4 linked regions of the Macaca fascicularis genome follow. The protein of the gene in region 1 interacts with the protein of each later gene in a biochemical or structural test. Links are inferred from orthologs where the notes say so. Each region holds a gene or a part of one and is shown in the gene's direction. Other genes may lie near its edges.

Region 1 (3,879 bases):
GAGTGAGTCAGAGGCTGGAGGACCCAGGGGTTAACTTGGCTCCAGCTCTCTCATTCTAGAGGGACAGAGGGCAGCAAGACTCCTCGAATACCCTGTCCCCTCTCCCTCAGCCTTTCATCTTTGTCCTTCCTCTTGGCCTCTCCTCGTCACCTGCTTCCTGTTTGAGCTGTTGCTTCCCAAGTTACACTTTCTGTTTCCTACATGTTGAGCCCACTTTCTTTTTCATGGGTCCTTTAGACTGTACAACACATGCTCTTCTCATCTTCAGGAAACATGCCCTGCTTTCTTTAGGCCAGTGTCCTGCCAACTCCTTTGCCCTCACAGCCCAGGAGATTGTCTGTCTTCCCTATGTCCCATTCCTTCAATTCTGTTTACTGCTTAAACTGTGGTCACTGGTCTCCCTTAGCTCACCAGGGCTCTAACAGCTAACTTTGGAGGCTTCTCCTCTCTCCTGGCCTCTTTGGTGGCCTCATTTTTCTTGCACTGCTGAGCAGCCTCCATAATTGGGCCAGCTCGGGCTGCATCAGTGGCCACCCTTTGATTTCCACTGCTGCCACAGCTGTAGAACCCCCGCTGCCCCGCCAGTGGCTATGGCCTGGGATAGTTTTTATAGACAAGAAATCCCCAGGCCCTTGGCTCCCAACACCTCACTGTGAGGGGCTACTTAGACCCCAGAGAATTGCAGAATCTGTTTCACTGTGCTTGTCCCCCACCCTGCAGGTACCCAGTCATCCTGTCCATTGAGGACCACTGCAGCATTGCCCAGCAGAGGAACATGGCCCAGCACTTCAAGAAGGTGCTAGGGGACACACTCCTCACCAAGCCCGTGGAGATCTCCGCCGATGGGCTCCCCTCACCCAACCAGCTTAAGAGGAAGATCCTCATCAAGGTGGGGGTGGTGGGCTTACTGGGGAAGCCCCACACTTCTCAGTGCCTCGCCCAGGCCATGGCTTCAGCTATTGGGCCTACGCCTGGGTGAGGAGGTGGGGTGATGACTGGAGTCTGCATTGCCTTGCTCTGGTTGCCCCTCCAGCACAAGAAGCTGGCTGAGGGCAGTGCCTACGAGGAGGTGCCTACATCCATGATGTACTCTGAGAACGACATCAGCAACTCCATCAAGAATGGCATCCTCTACCTGGAGGACCCTGTGAACCATGTGAGGACTGGGCCGGGCTGGGGGTGGTGGGCCAGTGGGTGTGAGGACCCTGGCTCACAAGTCCCTCTTTGGTCCGTTCCAGGAATGGTATCCCCACTACTTCGTTCTGACCAGCAGCAAGATCTACTACTCTGAGGAGACCAGCAGTGACCAGGGCAACGAGGATGAGGAGGAGCCCAAGGAGGTGAGGAACCAGCTCAGGTCTGGGGCTGGGCCAGGTCGGGCCTGGGCCAGGGTCCCAGTGTCTTTGCTGTTGCCTTCCCCTGACAGGTCAGCAGCAGCACAGAGCTGCACTCCAATGAGAAGTGGTTCCATGGGAAGCTAGGGGCAGGGCGTGACGGGCGGCACATCGCTGAGCGCCTGCTCACTGAGTACTGCATCGAGACCGGGGCCCCTGACGGCTCCTTCCTCGTGCGAGAGAGTGAGACCTTCGTGGGCGACTACACGCTCTCTTTCTGGTAACACTTCCCATGCAGATGCACATATTCAGTCAGCGTGTGTACACAGACATGACACCACCCAGAGATAATCAGTTAACATTTGAGCCTTTGATCCAGAACAATAATTATGCTTTACATGGAACATAAATTTCTCTCTCTCTCTCTCACCCCCCCCCCCCGCCATACCCCTCCCTTTTTGGTTCATTTGAAGCCTTTCAGTGCAACTGCCCACACCTGAGCTCCTCAGGAGATTGGCCTCCCTCCTTGAGGCTCGGTGCCTCATTTGAGGTGGAACTTGGTCTTTGGGGCCCTGGCCTATTTCTCCCAGCCTCCCTCACGTTGTGTCTTCCACAGGCGGAACGGGAAAGTCCAGCACTGCCGTATCCACTCACGGCAAGATGCTGGGACCCCCAAGTTCTTCTTGACAGACAACCTCGTCTTTGACTCCCTCTATGACCTCATCACACACTACCAGCAGGTGCCCCTGCGCTGCAATGAGTTTGAGATGCGACTTTCAGAGCCTGTCCCACAGACCAATGCCCATGAGAGCAAAGAGTGAGGGAGGGACCTGGGGGTGGGCAGGGCAGGGCAATGGGTGGTGCTGGCTGGGCCTGACTCTGCCTGTCCTCAGGTGGTACCACGCGAGCCTGACCAGAGCACAGGCTGAGCACATGCTGATGCGTGTCCCTCGTGATGGGGCCTTCCTGGTGCGGAAGCGGAATGAGCCCAACTCATATGCCATCTCTTTCCGGTGAGGGGTATGGCCCTGGGTTGTGGGGCCTTGCTTGGGTCTGAGCTGCCCTGACCCTGTGTGACTGTTTTGTCCTTGTGAAGGGCTGAAGGCAAGATCAAGCATTGCCGTGTCCAGCAAGAGGGCCAGACTGTGATGCTAGGGAACTCGGAGTTCGACAGCCTTGTTGACCTCATCAGCTACTATGAGAAGCACCCGCTATACCGCAAGATGAAGCTGCGCTACCCAATCAATGAGGAGGCGCTGGAGAAGATTGGCACAGCTGTGAGGGGCTGTGGTAGACGGGGCATGGCAGGGGAGGCAGGAGAGACCCAGAATCTTAGCAGTCACTGGATAATCTGGATATGTGTAACAGCAAGGCCTGGGGTGTTGTAGGAGTTCATAGGAAGGCCCCTGAGTCCAGCTGGGAGCCAGTGTGGGTACCAGGAGGGTGTCTGGAGGAGGGGACACCTGAGCAGTGTCCACAAGGATGGGGACAGGCACATAAGCAGCGGGTTCCCCATGAGTCAAGGTGAGGAGTGAGGAGGTTCTGGGGCTCACGCTGGGAGAGGTGCACACAGTGGAAGCTCATCAACCTGGGCTTGGCCTGGACTCTGTCCTAGGGCAGGTAGGAAGAGGCTACCCAAGAGTAGCTGTGGAGCCTCCTGGTGGATGGTATGGAGGGCAGAGCCACAGGAGGTGAGACCACTGAGGGAAAAAGTCGGGACTCATGGCAGCACAGCTGGTGATAAGGGCCCTGGACAGAAGAAAGGGGTCTAGGACCAGGAGATCAGTTGAGAGACTTATGTCGTCAGCAGACAGGGCTGGCTGGGGAGAGGCCTGTTGTCCACTGGCACCAGGGGCTCAGGTGATGGAGAGGAGTGGCCGGAGGAGTGTGGGGAGTGGAAAGGCTCTTCCTGACTTTGGGCTCAGCAGCGAACCGATGAGCCACTGAACTAAAGCACTGAATATGGGTAGTCTGTGAAGGGCCCACCTGCACATAGCTCAGAAATACTTGGGAGTTTGGGCATTTCGGACCTGAGAGATTTTGGAATCCTGGACTGGGCCTCACGTATAAGAATGTGAAGAAAAGAAAGGGTGAGACCCGGCCTGAGGCCTCTGAAGCCATCTCCGCTGAGGTTGAAGGATCCCTGTGGACCAGGTGCTAGTGGTGGTGGCCGCCTTGGTGGCCTGATGAGGAAGGCCAGGTGGAAGTTTGCTGCACTGGGGGAAAGGGAAGCTGCTGCGGAAGCCAGTAGCTGCTTTCTACCTCTAGGCTCTGGGGCATTAACATATCCCATTGTGTCCTGTTTCCAGGAGCCTGACTACGGGGCCCTGTATGAGGGACGCAACCCTGGCTTCTATGTAGAGGCAAACCCTATGCCAACTTTCAAGGTACAGCTCAGGCCTCTGGGCACAGGAAGCTGGGGAGGGTCCCCAGCTGCTCAGCTGCTTGGGGCTTCATTTCTGTGTTCTGGGCCATCTGTGGTCTTTATGGAGAAGTGGTGGTTGTGGTTTTCCGAGGCCCAAGAGGTTGTGAGAGATGTGTGGTT
Region 2 (3,861 bases), on another chromosome or scaffold:
GTCTCAAAAAAAAAAAAAAAAAAAAAATAGCTGGCTGGGCATGGTGGCTTACTCCTGTAATCCCAGCACTTTGGGAGGCCGAGGCGGGAGGATTGCTTGAGTCCAGGAGTTCAAGACCAGCCTGAGCAACATGGTTAAACCTCATCTTTACAAAACATAAAAAAAAAATTAACCAAGCGTGGTGGCACATGCCTGTAGTCCCAGCTGCTCAGGAGACTGAGATGGGCAGATCACCTGAGCCCGGGAAGCGGAAGTTGCAGTGAGCCGAGATCATGCCACTGTGCTCCAGCCTGGGTAACAGAGTGTTTTAAAAAAAAAAAAAAAAAAAAATAGCTAAGATTCACCGAGGGCCTCCTGCATGCCTTGCTGAGTCTGACATATGTTCACTCACTAACCTCACCGCCCTGGAGCTCCCGGGCCTGCCCTCGCCCTCCTGTGCTCCAATTGTCCCCCTTTGTGTGATGCAGGGTTTATCTGTTTAACAGCACTGTTATGTCACAGGTCCTATTTTACAGAGGAGAAAACTAGGGCACAGAGAGGTTATGTGGTTGGTTAGTACTGGAGCTGGGATTGAACCGGGGCGGTCTTCAAAAACAAACATGAAACACATAAGAGAACCAAATAGGCTGGGCATGGTGGCTCACGCCTGTAATCCCAGCACTTTGGGAGGTGGGTGGATCACCTGAGGTCAGGAGTTCAAGACCGACCTGGCCAACATGGTGAAACCCCGTCTCTACTAAAAATACCAAAATTAGCAGGGCGTGGTGGCGGGCGCCTGTAATCCCAGCTACTCAGGAGGCTGAGGCAAGAGAATTGCTTGAACCGGGAGGCAGAGGTTGCAGTGAGCCAAGATCACACCACTGCCCTCCAGCCCTCTGGGCAACAGAGGGAGACTCCATCTCAAAAACAAATAAATAAATAAAATAAAAGAACCAAATAACCAGGCATGGTAGCTGATACCTGTGATCCCAGGACTTTGGGAGGCTGAGGCGGGTGGGTCACTTGAACCCAGGAGTTCAAGACCAGCCTGGGCAGCATAAGGAGACCCTGTGTCTACAAAAAATCCAAAATTTAGCCTGGCCTGGTAGGAGCTGAGGTGGGAAGATCATCTGAGTCTGGGAGGTCAAGGCTGTGGTGAGCCGAGATTGCGCCACTGCATTCCAGCCTGGGCAACAGAGCGAGACCGTGTCTCAAGAAAAACAAAAACAAACAAAACCCCCAAATAACATGGATGGTGACAGGCGCCATGAGGGGCTGATATGGGAGTGGGACACAGGCAGTGGCTGGCAGGGGGCGGGCGGGGATGGGGGTAAGGGAGGAAGAGGTTCCTGCTGGGCCAAGTGTGTCATGTCCCCTCCACACATGCCACCAAACTCCTACTGCTCCGAGCCATACTCCGTCCCTGTTCCCCAGCCTAGGGGCTGTGCTGGGGCCTGACCCTTCGTGAACCCTCCTCAGTCCCGGTCAAGTGGACCTCCTCCCCCGCTCTCCACAGCCCTCGCCTTGTCTAGGCCACCATCACCATCACCAACACCATCCTTGCCAGCCTGGAGTGCCCGCTCTCCATTCTGTGGGGCTAATGGGGGTGGCTGTGTGGGGAGCCTCTGGGGTCTACTGTTGGGGGTGACTGAGGTTGGGGGTTCTCTGGGAACCTGTGGCCAAGGGTCTCTGGTCACAGTGCTGAGGTGGGGCTGGCTTTCCCACAGTGGAGTCCATTGATGATTACGTGAACGTTCCGGAGAGCGGGGAGAGCGCAGAAGCGTCTCTAGGTGAGTGACCGGTGCTCCTCGGTGCCTGCCCCTGCACCCCGCCACCCCACCATGCTCTCAATGTGACCAGACCCCACCCTGGGACTGCCCACACCCTCTGCCCCCTCTGTCTGGGCCTCCCCCTGCTCTCTTGCCCTCCTGACCCCTTTGCATGGCTGCCCCTCCTTCTGATCTGTCTCCACAGATGGCAGCCGGGAGTATGTGAATGTGTCCCAGGAGCTGCATCCTGGAGCGGCTAAGACTGAGCCTGGTGTGTGCTGCGGGAGGCGCAGGAGCTGGGGTAGCTGCCTTGGGCTTGGGGGGATAGCTTGCAAGCTGGAGACCAACCTCCCCTCCCCTACAGCCGCCCTGAGTTCCCAGAAGGCGGAGGAAGTGGAGGAAGAGGGGGCTCCAGATTACGAGAATCTGCAGGAGCTGAACTGAGGGCCTGGGTGAGAGGCCTGCCCTGTCCCCACCCTGTCCTGGGCCCGCAGCCTCTATTCCCTCCCTCCAGGACCCCTGCCCAACCCTACCTCCGGCTTGTCCCTCTGTCTCTGGGTACCTGCAGATCCCCATCAGCCTCCTGATCCATATCCCTCCCTGCCCTGGTGTGTTTCAGTGGAGGCCGAGTCTGTCCTGGAACCAAGCTTGTCTGGGACGGCTGGAGCTGGACAGCTGGAAGTGGCTCTGGGTTCTCACATGGCGTCCTGCCCTTGCTCCAGCCTGACAACAGCCTGAGAAATCCCCCCGTAACTTATTACCACTTTGCGGTTCGGCCTGTGTCCCCCGAACACTCTGCACCTTCTGACGCAGCCTGACAACAATGACCTGCCCTGGCCCCAGCCCTGCTCTGTGTAATAGAATAAAGGCCTGCGTGTGTCTGTGTTGAGCGTGCATCTGTGTGTGCCCGTGTGTGAGTCTGAATCAGAGATTTGGAGATGTCTGTGTGTGTGTCTGTGTCTGTGTGTGTGTGTCTGTGGGTCTCCATCCTTCATGGGGGCTCAGCCAGGTGCTGTGAGTGACAGCAGACAGTGGCTGGGACACCCCCCTTCTGAATGAGGCCTTCTGACTTGGGCTGGCACTGCTGAGGCTCAGGACACATCGCCCCATGAGACAGTCCCAGGACGCGGCAGCTGCTGGCTGTGACAAGGGTTTCGCCATCCGTAGGCCAAGGGATGGGACCTGATGACCTGGGAGGACTCTCTTAGTTCTTACCTTTTGTGGTTCTCAATAAAACAGAACTTAAAAAATCATCTAAGCAACTGAAAAAGTTAATATGCAGCACAGCACTTTTGAGACTTTGATGGGTAGGTGACTCACCAGCAGACTTTACTGTGGGGTGGGTTCTGACTCAGTTCGCCTAGGACGTGGCCTGCGACTTTGCATTTCTGAGCCGCTCCTGTGTGATTCTGATGCTGCTGGTCTGTGAACCTCATCTTGTGGAGCAAGGGCATGGTGAGCATCTATTGCCTTTACTTGACCGGGATCCATTTCCCTATTTTGGGAATTTCACCCTGGCTTTCCTCCGCGATTCACTCCTTTCCCAGTCTCATTTCATGTAGTTTTAGAGATTGTGTGTGTGTGTTTTTTTTTTTTTTTTTGAAATGGGGTCTCCCTCTGTCACCCAGGCTGGAGTGCAGTGGCACGATCTTGGCTCACTGCAACCTCTACCTCCTGGGTTCAAGCAATTCTCTCGCCTCAGCCTCCTGAGTAGCTGGGATTACAGACCCCCACTACCACACCCGGCTAATTTTTGTATTTTTAGTAGAGATGGGTTTCAGCATGTTGGCTGGGCTGGTCTCAAACTCCTGACCTCAGGTGATCCCACCCACCTCGGCCTCCCAAAGTGCTGGGATTACAGGGGTGAGCCACCGCACCTGGCCTGTTTTTTCTTTTTTGGAAATGAGGTCTCACTCTGTCGCCCAGGCTGGAATGCAGTAATGTAATCATGCCTCAGTGCAGCCTTGAACTCCTGGGCTCAAGTGACCCTCCCAGCTCAGCTTCCTGAGTAGCTGAGACTACAGATGCACACCCCCATGTCCGGCTAATGTTTTATTTTTTGTAGAGATGGGGGTCTCACTGTGTTGCCCAGGCTGGTCTTGAACTCCTGAGC
Region 3 (3,879 bases), on another chromosome or scaffold:
TTCGGCCTCCCAAAATGCTGGGATTACAGGCGTGAGCCACTATGCCGAAATTTTTGTATTTTTTTTGTAGAGATAGGGTTTCACTGTGTGGCCCAGGCTGGTCTCGAACTCCTGGGCTCAAGTGAGCCCCACCCACCTCAGCCTTCCAAAGTTCTGGGGTTACGGGCGTGAGCCACTGGGCCCGGCCTACTCCTACATTTTAATTAAAAGGACAAAGGATTGAACACAAGTGGTGGCAATTTCAGTATGCAGTTGGGTAAATTAAAAAGGACTGTGGCTAGAATCCTTGGTTTTAGAACAAAACAGAAACCGCTTAGGATTCTTGCCATCCTTGCCGTTTTGGCATAGGTCGAGGAAGGGGGTTCTCACAGAAGTGTGTCTTCCTACCTTTCTGCCTTTTCTTTTTCAGTTTTTAATGGGCTCCTCTTCCTACCCTCTGTAACTATGGGTGTCCCCAGGGACCTAGACCCTCTTTACTTCTTTCATGATACTCTTATTCATATGAGCCTTCCTTCTTAACAATTAAGGAAAAAATAAACAACTTTGTTTTGAAAAGGTAAGACATTTAGAATGTCACCCCAACTTCATTCACACTTAGATTCCTTCAGGAAAATCCTCTAGGTGTGGAGGGATTTTCCCCTGCTGTGAAGAGAATGGTAGGATCGTGAATATGTTAAAGGCACACAAGTCCCTGGTTTTAATCCGTGTAAGATTGTCCAAAAATTCTTCTTGTTCCCTATCTTTTTCCAGCACAGACGCCATCCAAGTAGCCCCTGCATCGCTGTCTGACAGAGATCTTTTGATTTCACAATAATGGAGATTTAGGGGCCTTTTCTGCAGCTGATGTTTGAGACTCTTAGAACTTCTTACCACCGTAGCTTAAGTAGCTGTTTTTCTTTTGGAAAGGAAATTCTCAGGCTCCTTCTCCTTCTCCTTCTTTAAATTTTATGTATTTCTCAAAGGATTACTTTTTAACAAACACATTTCTGTGCTACTTTTCAATCGTACTGACTACAGGTGATAAGAGTTTTTTGAAAGTATTTCATAATAAAACTAGAAATATTTTTTCCTGTTTTGAACAGAGTTGGACTCTATTAAATATTTTATTGTTCATTTTTGTTTTTAGTTGTTTAAATTTTGATTTAGATTCCTGGTTAGTATTTATTTATTTATTTGTAGAGACAGGGTCTCTCTATGTTGCCCAGCCTGGTCTCAAACTCCTGAACACAAGCAACCCTCCCACCTTGGCTTCCCAAAGTGCTGGGATTAAAGGCATGAGCCACAACTCTTATCCATTATTAATATTTATCATCAGTATTATCCATCAGGAGACAAGCAATTTGACATTATTCACACTTAAAAATCACTTTGTAGCTGTCATGATAACTAATGCCAGTGGGGCAATTCTTCTGGATATATGTGTAAAGGTGAACTTCATACCTAATATCAATACTGCCAGTGGGATAGTGTTTCTGGATTTATGTGTAAAGGTGAAATTAATGTCTAATGGAGTCTTCATTCTTTTTTAAACCACAGACCCAGATGTAGCCTTTGTACCTCTAGGAATGACGGATTATTTAGTCATCGTGGAGGACGATGATTCTGCCATCATACCTTGTCGCACAACTGATCCTGAGACTCCTGTAACTTTACACAACAGTGAGGGGGTGGTACCTGCCTCCTACAACAGCAGACAGGGCTTTAATGGGACCTTCACTGTAGGGCCCTATATCTGTGAGGCCACCGTCAAAGGAAAGAAGTTCCAGACCATCCCATTTAACGTTTATGCTTTAAAAGGTACTCATATCATCTCCTTCCTTCTTTAAATAAGAGTAACAGGCATAATCATCAGGTGCATGTATGATTTTTTTTTAAAATCATCACCACTGGTGATCCTAAATTCTGATTTGGGGATTTAGGACCCCAGCTAATACAGTGTCAAGGTGACCTCTATGGCTATAATAATAAGCTTAAAATTACTAAAGGCTAAAGCTTGATTACTCATGCAAGATTTCATGTTTCATCAGTTGACTTCAAAATACTGTAAGGAATTCTTTTCTTATATAAGCCTCTTACTTTCATTCACATTCCTGACTACGGAGGCCCTAAAACAAGCATACACCTCGGGGGTTAGATTCCTAGATTAATTTAGTAACTTAAGGAAAATGATTTCAATTCTGAAGAAAGTAGTTGTAGACTTCAACCCTTTGATGTCCACAGTTAGTACGCTTGGGGAAGTATAATACATGCTGAGGTCAACAGATATTTCCTGACCACTATTCTATGTGGAGGAATGGGTAGCAGCAAGAGTACACTGTTTGAAAATCAGAGCACAGCTAATTTTGTGCCAGGCACTGTGCTGGGTTCTGGGAAAGTACTGAGAATAACTGAGGAGCAGAGTGGAAGAGAAGAAGAGAAGAAAAAATTGGATAGAAACAAAGTGTCTAGAGCAGTGTGGATCATCAAAGGTTGGTTGATTAAATGAATAAGTATGTCAGTCAAGGTGATGGTAGACGAGTATAACCATAACTAACGCACTGCTGAGGAATGCAGTGATTGGAATTTATTTTTATTGTTATTATTTTATAATTCTGTATTATAACTATACACCTAATTGTTGTACACCATCTCAAAATCAAGCCTTGTGAGATTTTCTAAATTTTATCTTGATCAGGGCTTTTATTCATAATTGGTTCACAAATTATTTTTCAGGGTTTTCTTAAAAAAACAAAAAACAACACCACCACCCAAACTTTATAAGATCCTTACTATCCTATGGATTTTTAGGCCCTTGTATTTGTTCTTTTTTATAGCAACATCAGAGCTGGATCTAGAAATGGAAGCTCTTAAAACCGTGTATAAGTCAGGGGAAACGATTGTGGTCACCTGTGCTGTTTTTAACAATGAGGTGGTTGACCTTCAGTGGACTTACCCTGGAGAAGTGGTAGGTACCCTCAAAATGTGCAATGGCTTGGAGCAGAGCAGCAGGGCTCAGAAGACCTGCATTTGTGCTGGGTCTGTCACTGATGGGCACATCACTGAGTTTCTCTAGACCTTAGCTTCCCACCTCTATGATGAACACATTTGATTAAAAAGCCTTTAGGGCTCCTTGATCAATGGGCGAGTTTGAAACGACAGTTGCTGGACCAGGGCCTTCAGAATACATAAAGAGTGTGCACTAAGCCTTCTTTCTCAGAAGTCAGACAGAAATAGGAAGGTTCTCTGGCTACAAAATATCAACCAAAAAATTAGAAGAGCAAAAAAACCGCTGGATTTTACTATTGCGGAGAGTCATTAATTGTCATTGTCTTGGCTTCTGTGCTTCTGACGGTTGATTCATTTGATAGTGTTTATTGCCTGCACTCCTTCCTGTTCTGCCTTGTTGACACTGAGGACAGTGTGTCTTCCTGTTCCACCTCCTATGTGCCTGACCTTTGCATGGCTCACGTTCAGTGAACAGTCACTATGTAATCATTCAACAAAGGTTTAATGATGTTTTACTCAATCTCAAGCACCGTACCAGAAGCTGGTCCAATATTGCCGGATGAAGGGAGGAGGGGAGATGGAAGTGGGGAAAGGGAGCCACCATGCTGCCTCTTGGTCACTGGAGATTTACACAGAGTCTCAGTCATTCGAATGCATTGTCACTAAGTAAGAGAGGCATGTGTAAGAGGCTATGAATGCCCAAATGCAGGAATGACTAACATTCTTATGGAGAACAAAAACCAGATATATATATTTCTTCCCTCTTCTCCTGACTTGTAAATTTCTGCTCCCTGTTCTTTTAGGCATTTGACAGCTTTCTGTCCTTCTATCCATTGATCTCCCTCCTTATATACATTTCTCTCTCCCATGCATTTGCCACTGCTTTTCATTCGT
Region 4 (4,248 bases), on another chromosome or scaffold:
CGAGCTTCGGGTTGGAAGTGGGTGGGAGAGGTCGAGGCCTTGCACTTAAGGAGTCCCTTCGCCTCGTGCTTGAGTCGAGGCCTGGCTTGGGCTCTGGGGCTGCCGCGTGCGAATCTGGTAGCACCTTCGCGCCTGCCCCGCTGCTTTCACTAAGTTTCTAGCCATTTAAAATTTTTGATGACCAGCTGCAACGCCTTTTTTCTGGCGAGATAATCTTATAAATGCGGACCAGGATCTGCACACTGATATTGGGGTTTTGGGGGCCGCGGGCTGCGACGGGGCTCGTGCGTCCCAGCGCACATGTTCGGCGAGGCGGGGCCTGCGAGCGCGGCCACCGAGAGTCGGACGGGGGGAGTCTCAAGCTGGCCGTCCTGCTCTGGTGCCGGGCCTCGCGCGGCGGTGTGTCGCCCCGCCCTGGTCGGCAAGCCTGGCCCGGTCGGCACCAGTTGCGTGAGCGGAAAGATGGCCGCTTCCCGGCCCTGCCGCAGGGAGCTCAAAATGGAGGACGCGGCGCCCGGGAGAGCGGGCGGGTGAGTCACCCACACAAAGGAAAAGGGCCTTTCCCTCCTCGGTCGCCGCTTCATGTGACCCCACGGAGTACCGGGCGCCGTCCAGGCACCTCGATTAGTTCTCCGAGCTTTTGGAGTACGTCTTCCTTAGGTTTGGGGGAGGGGTTTTGTGCGGTGGAGTTTCCCCACACTTGGTGGGTGGAGACTGAAGAGTTAGGCCAGCTTGGCGCTCGATGTAATTCTCCTTGGAATTTGCCCTTTTCGAATTTGGATCTTGGCTTATTCTCAAGCTTCAGACAGTGGTTCAAAGTTTTTTTCTCCCATTTCAGGTGTCGTGAAAACTACCCCTAAAAGCCAAAATGGGAAAGGAAAAGACTCATATCAACATTGTCGTCATTGGACACGTAGATTCGGGCAAGTCCACCACTACTGGCCATCTGATCTACAAATGCGGTGGCATCGACAAAAGAACCATTGAAAAATTTGAGAAGGAGGCTGCTGAGGTATGGGAAAGATGAACTAAAATGAGTTTTACCAGCAGAATCATTAAGTGGTAGTGATTTCCCCAGAACTAGTGAGTGGTTTAGATCTGACCCTACTTATTAAAATAGTTTGCTTTTGGTTACTTCTGTAACCGTATTGCTAGTGAGTAGTTTCGATTTGGATATTAATAGTCAAGATCCTACTTTAAAAAGTTTGCTTTTTGGTTGCTTCTGTAACCCTATCTAAGTGACTAAAATCACTTAGGACTTGCAGTTGTAAAGTGGAAACTATGTGCCAATTAAGGGCTGGGGGCAAAGAAATTGAAGCTGGAGTTTGTGTGTTAGTAACCAAGTAACAACTCTTAATCCTTACAGATGGGAAAGGGCTCCTTCAAGTATGCCTGGGTCTTGGATAAACTGAAAGCTGAGCGGGAACGTGGTATCACCATTGATATCTCCTTGTGGAAATTTGAGACCAGCAAGTATTATGTGACTATCATTGATGCCCCAGGACACAGAGACTTCATCAAAAACATGATTACAGGGACATCTCAGGTTGGTGGGATTAATAATTCTAGGTTGTTTTTTTTTTTTTTTTTCCCCTGAAATGCCTGTCTTGTGCATTGGTTTTGTCCTTTGGAGAGTTGACAGGGATATGTCTTTGCTTTCTTTAAAGGCTGACTGTGCTGTCCTGATTGTTGCTGCTGGTGTTGGTGAATTTGAAGCTGGTATCTCCAAGAATGGGCAGACCCGAGAGCATGCTCTTCTGGCTTACACACTGGGTGTGAAACAACTAATTGTTGGTGTTAACAAAATGGATTCCACTGAGCCACCCTACAGCCAGAAGAGATACGAGGAAATTGTTAAGGAAGTCAGCACTTACATTAAGAAAATTGGCTACAACCCCGACACAGTAGCATTTGTGCCAATTTCTGGTTGGAATGGTGACAACATGCTGGAGCCAAGTGCTAACGTAAGTGGCTTTCAAGACCGTTGTTAAAAAGCTCTGGGAATGGCGATTTCATGCTTACACAAATTGGCATGGTTGTGTTTCAGATGCCTTGGTTCAAGGGATGGAAGGTCACCCGTAAGGATGGCAATGCCAGTGGAACCACGCTGCTTGAGGCTCTGGACTGCATCCTACCACCAACTCGTCCAACTGACAAGCCCTTGCGCCTGCCTCTCCAGGATGTCTACAAAATTGGTGGTAAGTTGGGTGTCAACAAAGTTGAATTTGAGTTGGTAGAGTACTATCTTCCTTCATAGGTATTTAGTATGCTGTAAATATTTTTAGGTATTGGTACTGTTCCTGTTGGCCGAGTGGAGACTGGTGTTCTCAAACCCGGTATGGTGGTCACCTTTGCTCCAGTCAACGTTACAACTGAAGTAAAATCTGTCGAAATGCACCATGAAGCTTTGAGTGAAGCTCTTCCTGGGGACAATGTGGGCTTCAATGTCAAGAATGTGTCTGTCAAGGATGTTCGTCGTGGCAACGTTGCTGGTGACAGCAAAAACGACCCACCAATGGAAGCAGCTGGCTTCACTGCTCAGGTAACAATTTTTAAAGTAACATGTTCCTACCTTATTGCAGAGGCTAAAGTCATTTGAGACTTTGGATTTACACTGAACGCAAATCTTTTTTTCCAAGGTGATTATCCTGAACCATCCAGGCCAAATAAGTGCTGGCTATGCCCCTGTGTTGGACTGCCACACAGCTCACATTGCATGCAAGTTTGCTGAGCTGAAGGAAAAGATTGATCGCCGTTCTGGTAAAAAACTGGAAGATGGCCCTAAATTCTTGAAGTCTGGTGATGCTGCCATTGTTGATATGGTTCCTGGCAAGCCTATGTGTGTTGAGAGCTTCTCAGACTATCCACCTTTGGGTAAGGATGATTACTTAAACGTAAATAAGTTGTGTTAAAGATGAAAAATACAACTGTGAACAGTTTTGGTAATACTACATTTTTTTTTTAATAGGTCGCTTTGCTGTTCGTGATATGAGGCAGACAGTTGCGGTGGGTGTCATCAAAGCAGTGGACAAGAAGGCTGCTGGAGCTGGCAAGGTCACCAAGTCTGCCCAGAAAGCTCAGAAGGCTAAATGAATATTATCCCTAATACCTGCCACCCCACTCTTAATCAGTGGTGGAAGAACGGTCTCAGAACTGTTTGTTTCAATTGGCCATTTAAGTTTAGTAGTAAAAGACTGGTTAATGATAACAATGCATCGTAAAACCTTCAGAAGGAAAGGAGAATGTTTTGTGGACCACTTTGGTTTTCTTTTTTGCGTGTGGCAGTTTTAAGTTATTAGTTTTTAAAATCAGTACTTTTTAATGGAAACAACTTGACCAAAAATTTGTCACAGAATTTTGAGACCCATTAAAAAAGTTTAATGAGAAACCTGTGTGTTCCTTTGGTCAACACTGAAACTTTCAAGTTTTACCTCGCTTAGGAGAAAGACATGTAATTCTGGTTTTATGAATTTGTGGAAACTTTATGAAAATGTAGTTCTCAAGTTAACACTTCTAGGTGGAGATAAGGTTGTTTTCCTCCCACGTACTTGGAAGGGGAAGGAATCTAAGCTATGGGAGGGCTGCTTTGATTTCCACATTGGAGAGAAATGCAGCATGTTACTGATGGCCTGTCACTAAGGAAGGCCAAATGCTGTAATAGAGTCCTTGTGTTGCATAGAAAGCTTAATGTAGTTAAACCAATGTTAAGTGAATCTTTGGAAACATGAAATAGTTTCCAAATTACAGGGATGTGCGTTTTAAAACAGGTTAAAATGACTGGGCAGTGGAAGTTGACTATTTCCCCTGACATAAGAAGTAAGTAGTTGCTAGTGCACACCCTATGTGAGTGGAGGGATCCATTTTAAAGTCAGTGGAGTTAGCTTTATGCCAGTTGGTTTCACAAGTTTTACTGAGTGCTATTCAGAATAGGAACAAGGTGCTAACAAAGATGGCAATTTGAAGTAGCTATAAAATTGGACAGAGCCTAATATTAAGTTTCTTTCCTCCTACAGAGTCTAATACCTTTTATGCTTTGATTAGCAATTTGTCTGCTTGGTCACTAGCAATGAAGTGGTCATAAGCTTAACAGGTGTCAGTGATAGCCCACTTACTCCTGAATCTTAAGCATTTGTGCATTTGAAAAACTTAATGATATTCCTGCTGGGATTACAGGCATGAGCCACTATGCCTGATCTCCCAGATGTAGAAGAGTATCTAAAGGTATCTTTTCGGATATATAAGGAAAAT

The links. The genes of interacting proteins can lie anywhere in the genome.
Region 2: the proteins of PLCG1 (region 1) and LAT form a complex in vitro, tested with the Homo sapiens proteins (2 studies listed by BioGRID and IntAct, with this or other methods). The link is inferred for Macaca fascicularis from reciprocal best matches to the Homo sapiens genes PLCG1 and LAT.
Region 3: the proteins of PLCG1 (region 1) and PDGFRA form a complex in vitro, tested with the Homo sapiens proteins (2 studies listed by BioGRID, with this or other methods). The link is inferred for Macaca fascicularis from reciprocal best matches to the Homo sapiens genes PLCG1 and PDGFRA.
Region 4: the proteins of PLCG1 (region 1) and EEF1A1 form a complex in vitro, tested with the Homo sapiens proteins (2 studies listed by BioGRID, with this or other methods). The link is inferred for Macaca fascicularis from reciprocal best matches to the Homo sapiens genes PLCG1 and EEF1A1.

Annotation. Positions count from the first base shown.
Region 1 is NC_088384.1:97,271,189-97,275,067, forward strand, and holds part of PLCG1 (1-phosphatidylinositol 4,5-bisphosphate phosphodiesterase gamma-1), read left to right. Parts: coding exon 1-2; intron 3-720; coding exon 721-889; intron 890-1,033; coding exon 1,034-1,156; intron 1,157-1,238; coding exon 1,239-1,340; intron 1,341-1,426; coding exon 1,427-1,614; intron 1,615-1,950; coding exon 1,951-2,151; intron 2,152-2,227; coding exon 2,228-2,347; intron 2,348-2,430; coding exon 2,431-2,611; intron 2,612-3,643; coding exon 3,644-3,721; intron 3,722-3,879. UniProt on the Homo sapiens protein: Mediates the production of the second messenger molecules diacylglycerol (DAG) and inositol 1,4,5-trisphosphate (IP3). Plays an important role in the regulation of intracellular signaling cascades.
Region 2 is NC_088394.1:27,476,122-27,479,982, reverse strand, and holds the end of LAT (linker for activation of T-cells family member 1), read left to right. Parts: intron 1-1,706; coding exon 1,707-1,769; intron 1,770-1,953; coding exon 1,954-2,019; intron 2,020-2,112; coding exon 2,113-2,192; 3' UTR 2,193-2,200; intron 2,201-2,367; 3' UTR 2,368-3,001; downstream 3,002-3,861. UniProt on the Homo sapiens protein: Required for TCR (T-cell antigen receptor)- and pre-TCR-mediated signaling, both in mature T-cells and during their development.
Region 3 is NC_088379.1:79,632,516-79,636,394, reverse strand, and holds part of PDGFRA (platelet-derived growth factor receptor alpha), read left to right. Parts: intron 1-1,536; coding exon 1,537-1,797; intron 1,798-2,813; coding exon 2,814-2,944; intron 2,945-3,879. UniProt on the Homo sapiens protein: Tyrosine-protein kinase that acts as a cell-surface receptor for PDGFA, PDGFB and PDGFC and plays an essential role in the regulation of embryonic development, cell proliferation, survival and chemotaxis.
Region 4 is NC_088378.1:101,525,474-101,529,721, forward strand, and holds the end of EEF1A1 (elongation factor 1-alpha 1), read left to right. Parts: intron 1-838; 5' UTR 839-868; coding exon 869-1,012; intron 1,013-1,366; coding exon 1,367-1,546; intron 1,547-1,667; coding exon 1,668-1,964; intron 1,965-2,047; coding exon 2,048-2,198; intron 2,199-2,285; coding exon 2,286-2,542; intron 2,543-2,639; coding exon 2,640-2,874; intron 2,875-2,968; coding exon 2,969-3,093; 3' UTR 3,094-3,388; downstream 3,389-4,248. UniProt on the Homo sapiens protein: Translation elongation factor that catalyzes the GTP-dependent binding of aminoacyl-tRNA (aa-tRNA) to the A-site of ribosomes during the elongation phase of protein synthesis.